Coturnix japonica: one gene and its partner. The protein of the gene in region 2 interacts with the protein of the main gene of each other region in a pairwise test. Links are inferred from orthologs where the notes say so. Each region holds a gene or a part of one and is shown on either strand. Other genes may lie near its edges. The genes, in order: RAB11B and RAB11FIP2.

The links.
Region 1: the proteins of RAB11FIP2 (region 2) and RAB11B interact in binary tests that used the Homo sapiens proteins (3 or more experiments, as listed by UniProt). The link is inferred for Coturnix japonica from reciprocal best matches to the Homo sapiens genes RAB11FIP2 and RAB11B.

What each region holds. Positions count from the first base shown.
Region 1 is NC_029543.1:322,006-326,590, forward strand, and holds the start of RAB11B (ras-related protein Rab-11B), read right to left. Parts: upstream 2,823-4,585; 5' UTR 2,808-2,822; coding exon 2,593-2,807; intron 2,310-2,592; coding exon 2,116-2,309; intron 1,723-2,115; coding exon 1,642-1,722; intron 1-1,641. UniProt on the Homo sapiens protein: The small GTPases Rab are key regulators of intracellular membrane trafficking, from the formation of transport vesicles to their fusion with membranes.
Region 2 is NC_029521.1:26,290,770-26,294,582, forward strand, and holds part of RAB11FIP2 (rab11 family-interacting protein 2), read right to left. Parts: intron 2,715-3,813; coding exon 2,272-2,714; intron 1,579-2,271; coding exon 1,116-1,578; intron 1-1,115. UniProt on the Homo sapiens protein: A Rab11 effector binding preferentially phosphatidylinositol 3,4,5-trisphosphate (PtdInsP3) and phosphatidic acid (PA) and acting in the regulation of the transport of vesicles from the endosomal recycling compartment (ERC) to the plasma membrane.

The DNA of each region.
Region 1 (4,585 bases), on a different chromosome or scaffold from region 2:
GTGGCTTTCCAGCTCTGCCTGGAAGACCTAAAGGTTTCACCCTTCAGCTCCCGGTGAGCCGTCCCTACTGAAGTACAGGACCACCCGCTCCTCTCCGTTACAAATCAGTTTCCCCATCCGTGGCAGTAAAAATGAGGTTCCACGCAGCCCCACATTGATCTGCAAATGCCATCCCCGACAGAATTCATTTCATTGACTCCAAATAACTCATGCCTGAAAGCACAGATTCACCCCAGCTGTTAAAGGCAGCGTCCAGGTTAGAAGCTTTCAGAAGGAAACCATTCCACCTGCAGCGCCAGTAGAAATAAGTGGAAATATTTCTATTGCGCTGACTGTAGGACCTCATTCCAACTTCCCTCCATTGTGAGACAGGAAAAGGGCAAGCACCTCCCTGGAAGCCTGCAGTAAATATTATGGTCACATTCAAGCAGTCACAGCCGCAGGACAGGAACAGCCAAAGCCTTTAACAAGGGTTTTAAATGGTGGGGAATTGTAGGGTTTGGGCTCTTTGGTTTTTTTGTTTTGATGGAGCTCCAGTTCTGGCTCCATCTGTTACACAGGCAGCACTGAACTCTCCTAGAAAAACCTCTGGCCATTTTCTGTACCCAGAGTCAGGCTCAGAACAACACAACGAGGGAAGACAGGATGGATGGTGATGGCTGAGCCACGCTCAGGGCACTAAATCCACCGATACCATCTCAGAGCAGCACACGAGTCACCTCAGATCCAGCCAAGTGTCACAGATAAGCAGCACCTGCTCTCAAGGCCACCCTGCACAAGAGCTCAGGCTGCAGCTGCTCTTCTCTACAGCTCTGTCTCAGCAGCAGTATTCTCCAGTTACTTCTCCAGCAGCTCAACCCAAATCTTGCTGGGGAGCAGAACGTAACCCACTCTTCATCCATCAGGCTTTTTTACTCATAGAAGCAGCTTGACTACCCTTTTTTTTCCTCCTGCCCACCTCCTCTTGGTCATCTTTAACTGTAACACACCTCTGTGCTCACAGAGCTGCTCAGACCGACACCACAGCTCCTGCCTGTTTACCTCCACACTCTGCAAAACAAACCTGAAAGAGCCTTCAAGAATTCACCAGGTCAAAACTCAGCCATTTCCCCAGTAATAGGCTCTCATTCACATATAATCAAGGCACAGCAATAATAACCAGTTCTCTGGTCAGCGTCCAACAAGCAGCATACATCAGACACTTCCTGACAACCGAGCAGTACCAGAACAAAGGCTCATTCTCATTTAAGTTAAATCAGCATCTTGTCACCAAAAAACAAAAAATGCTCAGGAAATGCCCTTCTGGAGACGTGGTGGGACGTGTACATCAGGCACAGCTCCACAGAACAGTGCATGAGGGTGAGAATACAGAAATAGTTTATCCTCCCAGAATTCAGCTATTGAACCATAAAACTCAGGTAATGGGCCCACATCACTCTCAAGGAAAGAGAAAGTTCCCCATGCGTGTGGGTGGGGAAAAAGGTGCATGGGGTGGGGGTAAAACAGAGGTAAGGGGAGGCAGACTGCAGACATATAATCATTCCCAACACTCATTTCCAAAACAGTCTCAATAACTGCAAACTGTGCCCATGAAGAAGATTCACTATGTGGTAGGTCCACAGAACCCATAACAAACCATACCTGTAAGGATGTTCTTGAAGGCTTCTTCTACATTTGTGGAATCCAGAGCAGAAGTTTCAATAAAGGACAGGTTATTTTTTTCTGTAATAAATAACAAGTGGTTCAGTTAGGAACTCTATGCTCTCCATAGAACCAGGCCTCTAGGAATGAAGGACAGACACTCTGCATTGTGATATTTGACACTATATGAGGTATTTTCTCCTCTGAACATTTCCTGCTGTTTTTCAGCCTTCCCAGAGGAACTGTTTATGCTTCAGGTATCGGGCAGCTCAAGGATGCTGTTTTACAAACATGTGCTACCAACAGATTCAACAAGAAAAAACACCATCCACTATTTAACAAGCCAGCTACGAAACCTCCAATTCCCCTTTTTTTTCCCACATAATAATAAGCACAAGGCAAAAGTTAAATACTGGACAGTAGAGTGACCAGCACACTGAACTTGAGAAGCACCTGAAGGCCCCACATACCGACCTGCAAAAGCACGGGCCTCATCAGTGGGCACAGCCCTCAGGTGGCGCAGGTCGCTCTTATTGCCCACCAGCATGATGACGATGTTGTTGTCTGCGTGATCCCTCAGCTCCTTCAGCCAGCGCTCCACGTTCTCATAGGTGAGATGTTTGGCAATGTCATAGACAAGAAGGGCCCCCACAGCACCACGGTAATACCTGGGAGAACACAAAGGCACATTCCTTTAGAAAGGTCCAACAAACCCATTCAGAAAGCTGCGCTGATGCAAGTACTGCAGTTCTGTATGCTTTGTGTAATAACCATCCCCCAGAAATGAGTTCCAAATTCCAAATACTAATCAAATAGCATGATATTGTTACCTGATTACCTGGATCTACAGCAAGACCTGCCACAAGGATTCTGTCCCATCCAAATGCATTTCATTCAGTCCTTACCCGGAGATGTATCTGCCATAGTCCCAAAGAAAGACACGGTACTCACGCTGAAGTAATGGCACGGTATCTCTCCTGCCCTGCAGTATCCCAGATCTGTGCCTTTATCGTCTTCCCATCCACTTGGATGCTCCTGGTAGCAAACTCCACCCCGATGGTGCTCTTGCTCTCCAGGTTGAACTCATTGCGGGTGAAGCGGGACAGCAGGTTGCTCTTCCCCACTCCGGAGTCCCCAATCAGCACCACTGAAAGACAGGACATCATTTACCAGATGAACTCCCCACAGCAGCACTGTGCTGCCTGGCTGCTGCGCTGCTTCAGGCAGGGCCCACAGTAACAAGGGCGACGAGCTGCCCCTTGCATGCCCAGCCTTCTGTGGGATTTACTGCAGTTATTCCAGCCATCACCGTGCTCCCCACAGGAAGACATCTGATACTACAAACAAGCCAGAAAACAAAGCAGGACTTCACCCAACAGAACGAGTTCCAGTGGATTAGATGAGAAGTAGAAGACTGAAACTCTGCCTCCGCACAAGGTGTTGCCATGCTAACAGGAAAACATCAGTGCTCAGAGATTTCTAGGCCCTCCCGATCCATGCACAGCAGATTAGAGAACACCTCTCCCTGCACGCTTTCTGAATTAGCTCACCAGCATTCTCCCATGGCCACGAACTGGGCTGGTCCCTCTGTTATTTCAGCTTTGCTTTATTTTGTGCTCAGGCCATTGTTTCAGGCTCCAGCTTTGGCAGCTCCCACCCCGCTTCTCCCCACCCAGGACAGCTGGAGCCAGCTCCACGCAGTGCTCTGCCCTCCTAATGAACACACAGCTCGAGAAAGCACAGCTGCCTCTCCAGGTTGTACTCGTGTCTGTCCTCTGGCCTGTGAAGATGACCAGTTTCATGCATGAACTCTGCAAAAAGACCCTGGGTCATTAATCCATTGGCTGCAGGAAGAGAATTCAGGCGGTCCTGCTGCACTTTGCTAATTACCCCCTGTAATCCAGGTACCTTCAGTGCCTTCAGCTGCTCCATGCTCTGGCAGAGCATTTCTGAGATGTTACTGAATGCAGAAGTAATAAAGGCAGGCAACCTGATCCAAACTCAGCAACAAGTTCGTGCTCTCTCTACCTTACAATCAGCCTCTTGCTGCTCTCAATCAACTGTCAGGACTTTCTCTTTTAGCAGGGAGATCCAAAGACTGGAGACCCACGTACCTCTATGGGCACAGAGCAGGAAGATGCCTTTAAGCTTCTGGACCAAAGCAATCAGATACTGTGGAAATTCCTCAGTTTGGGAACGGGTTACTCAACAATACAGCCTGTTCAAATGCAGATGGAAAAAGAAAGCCCCAAACCAAAAGCAAGAGCCCAAATCCATACTACATCCATCAGAATACATGAAATCACACCCCTTCCACGGCCTTCGATCCCACTAATAAAGGCAAGGAACACTTGGAAATGACCCGAACCAACAAGTCAGCATCAGGTGGAGCAGTGCAGCACAAGGCACGTGCCATGTCCAGCCTACAGCCAGAATTCAGGGCTGCTCCTTCAGCCCCCCCTGCTTCCAGCTCTGCCCCGTGCCCATCAGTGCACACCACGCTGCCCATCCAACAACTGCAAAGCACTGCAGATCTGGTAACACAAGACCAGGTTTATGGTGGAATTTTAAACAGACCGGTTAATTATCTGTCAAAAGGAGTCTATTCCTTCACACAATGAAGAGGATTAAGCCTCTTCCCAGCACAGCTCATCATAAATATTCAGTACATGAGGTTGCCAGATATTGATGAACAATATGACAAACATTTGTTTCCAATAACCAAACGCCCCATCGGGCTTCAGCTCTGATTGGCGCGCTCTGATTTTCCACAAACATAAAAGAAAGCTCTTATTCTTCCCCCCATGGCCGCTTTTATCCTTTTCACCCCCACAAGGCAGGCGTACATCTGCACAATCTCAGATTCCATTTGTAATATAAACACCAATCACAGCCCATCTTCCTGGGAGGAAAATCAGCGCAGGGCTCACACCTCAATAGATGC
Region 2 (3,813 bases):
ATTCAAGAACTTCAAAAGATTTCACTACTGATATCTAGCATCTGCCCGAACACATTTTTTCATTTTAAAAAAATATTAAATGCTATGTAATTTTAATTGTTATTTAAATTAGTTCTGCTTAAAGGAGATTATTTAAATGAAAGTTTAACTTCTGACAAAGCAAGCTACATCCTAACCTCACTTTAATCTAGAGAAATCCTTTATTAAATAAATAATATTCTCAGACTCTGGCTGAAAATACTTTATTTAAGACAGTAGAATTGGCTTGACTTGTAGGAGGCAATAAGAAGATGAGTCACTGAAGTCTGTACGAGCTTGTAGACAACTAATCTTTTCTACAGTTGGTCCATTTCAGTTTACTAAATCCACAACCAAGATTAGTTTTGTTGAGAAAGTGATTTGAAGATTTAAACAGAAGTGTATATATATATATATATATATATATACACATATATATATATGTTAATTTAAGGAAAACATGTAAATTGTTGATAAGCAAACAAAGATTAAAATAAATAATTTTAATCAAAGTTTCTTATTAACTCCTGTAACTCAAGTCATTTTGTTTAGCATATAAACTGCTGCCTGGTATATAGCCTTGAATACACATGAACTCAGGAAAGCTACAGTGAGGCAAATGATTCCAGGCAGGATAAGGGCCAGGCAGATGCTCTCATTTAGAAACAGAATGGTCTCTAGTTCTTGTGCTTCAATATATAGAATCTACGCCCATTCTTTCCAAAGCATTTGCTTTCATTGCTCAAACCTTTCATTTATTCTGTTCCATCATACTCTAACAATTAAAACTTCACCCTTTAAAACCTTGCCTTGGACTGAAGGTAGTTCATTGCTAGCTATTACACAAGGTTTTCCGCATATGCAAACCCAAGAGTCACAGTAATAATACATTTACTAATATAAATGTAACTTCTAAATAAAATATAGAATGAAAAGGTTAAATTACATTAAAGGTTCATAAATGTTACTTAGCAACAACAAAAATCGTTAAATTCTTATTGATAGTTTGGAAAACAAAGACTACACCCCTCAACTCTTCAGACTTTGATTTATATAACATGTTCAAGATAGCAAATCAAAATGCAGCCAAAACCTACCTTGAAGATGGCAAGATGCTTGTAGGCTTGAAGCTTGTCATGAACGGATTAGTTGACTCATAATCAAAACTCTCCTGATGAGTTTCACCAAACGCACTCGGTGATTTCAAGTCAGTGGAGCTCTCTGATCCCCCATTGCTAAGTTTATCTGACCTCCTGCTATCTTTTTTGCCAGTCACTCTTTCAAAAAGACTAACTTTCTCTTTTTTCTCTTTTCTAATTTCCTTTTTGATTTCAACAGGTTTGGAAAACAGACTTATGTTTTGATCCCACGTTGCTGGGCTTTCTTCAAATGGATTCTTCTGTCTTGGCAGTGTAGCGAATTTTTGGGGTAATGAAGCACTCACGTTGGTAAATGGGTCATTTTGTGCTTCCAGCGCAGTTTCATCAGCTGTGCTGTCCAATTGGTTCATTTTAGAAGTATCAATACTTAATGTCCTCCTATGCGGAGATTTTACACTCCCTGCAAACAATCTGCCATTAGTACATTATCAATGAGATGCTACAGCATAGCTTATAACACACAGAGAAACCATTTTAGCTTTGGTATGGAAGGTCTGAAAGCGAGTTTTAGCCTGAAGCACCCTTGACTAACAAATCTACATTTAAAATATCAACAGCTCTGGCATTGTCTTCATGATATTGATGTGTTTAAAGAATAAACTACAGCCTTTTTTTCTTTTTAATTTTCTGCATAAGAACTAAGTTCTAGAAGGAATACAGCTGTAGCTAGTGTGGCATTCCAGAAAGTGACAGTAATCTATTGCCTAAAAACTTTGAGTGATGCAAAGCACTTTCACTCATTTGTATAAATTAGGTTTAAAACTTCGGTGATAGTTCTTAACTTTTTAAAAAGACATTCTTCACACTATATCACTTTGCCTTGAATTCGGCTTGAATGCAATGTTTCATTACAACACACTCCCCAAATGAGGACATGAGGAAAAATAAAAAATATAATACATTATGATCAATGTAAGTTATTTCTTACTCTCTTAATGGCATTTATGTTACTTCCAACTAGTGGAAGAGACAAAATAGGCCAGCAATAATTCATTATTTTTTGGCCTTATAACTGCTTCATAAAGAAACAGACTTCTGTATGCTCTAGAAGTGGGGAATTATAATTGTAACGTTCATGATAGAGTTCACTTACCTCCTTCATCAACTGAACCAAAAGATTCTAGCTGACGCTTGAAAAGATGAGAGTAGCCACCTGTGCTGGCTTTTAATTTTTCTGAGGAGACGTGTGATCCTGTTAAATCTGACATCGAATGAGCTGAAGATAGCCTCTGGGGTCCCAAAAGGAAAGGTTTTTTTGGTTTTGATTTCATTTGTACTTCACCACTACACACCTCTACGTTTGCATCAGGTATGTGAGTACTTGGAATGATTGCAGATGATGTATCTGAAAATGTCCCATCATTTTTTCGACCCTTCATTTTGTCTTTCAGTTTAGCAAAAGGGGATTTGGTTTTGTCCTTCATTGACAAATCGAACATACTTGCTGTCATGTTATTCCTCATAAACTGAATATTGACCTTTATTTCTCCTCTGTCTTTGGTTCTTTTTCCTTGTCTGGACTCTAGGGGAAACCACCTTAAATGAGAAAAAGAGCAAGTTAAGTTGTTTTCTTTGGAGGCCTGCAATTAAAATCTAGTTAGTCGATTAAAGTCTTGCTATATAATTAAAAATATGAAAGCCAAATTCCATACTGAAAATCAAAATATTCCCAATATTGAAAAACTTTTTGGTCCACACTTGGTTTTGAAAGAGGATACATGCAATAACTAGAAAGCAGGAAACTCTCTGCTCTGTTCAATTCAAGAATCCAAGTCAACTCAATGGAAGCATATTAAGCTTCACTGAAGCTAAGGGGATCGCATCTGCTTACAAAGAATTTGTATCTAATATTTATTACACAAACAAAAAAGGAAATATCCAAAACCTTGGAATGATTTACACTCAAACATCATTTTGGTTTTGCAGCTGCAACCTCAGTCACAAACACCAGTGGTAGAACAGCATCAGTGTATCCGACACTGCCCTTTGCTGCAGGTAACCAGTAGGATTTACTTCATCACACCTCCACAGGCTCTGCAAACATGATCCAAACCTCCAACTGATGAGGTCACTTGTTTCAAAAAGATATGTGTTTTCTCAGTTTCAACAAAGACATTATCGTTAACCAGATGTCTGACTACTTGCCCACCTTGCTCTTCTGTCTACTGGACTCACCAGTAGAATTAAGACTCAGTCCCTCCTCCACAGCCTTACCTAAGTGAATGACCGACCTACTCCCCACTCATCATCAGTAGTTTCTTCCTATTTCAAAAGGGGCACGAGGGCACACTTCCAATTTTCCAGTTGCACAGAAGTGCTCTAAACACATCTGTATATATTCTCATTGCTGTTCTTTCTCCTTTTGGAGGACATGAGAGCTTTTCTTATACTTCTTCTCACACATGAAAAATATTAAATGATTTAATTGGTTGGCATCATTAAGGAAAAGAAATAACACTACTTCTCAACCTTCCTGAAGAGGTTTGGGGAGGGGAAGACAAGTCATCCAAAGGACAAGTTCTTCCACCTGCCTCGAGGTGATGCTGAATTAGAAGCCCTGGAAAAATCTCTTATAAATTTTATGAAATTACTAATTTAGAAAGTATCTAACAGGTTCTAACTCATATTTCTAGCT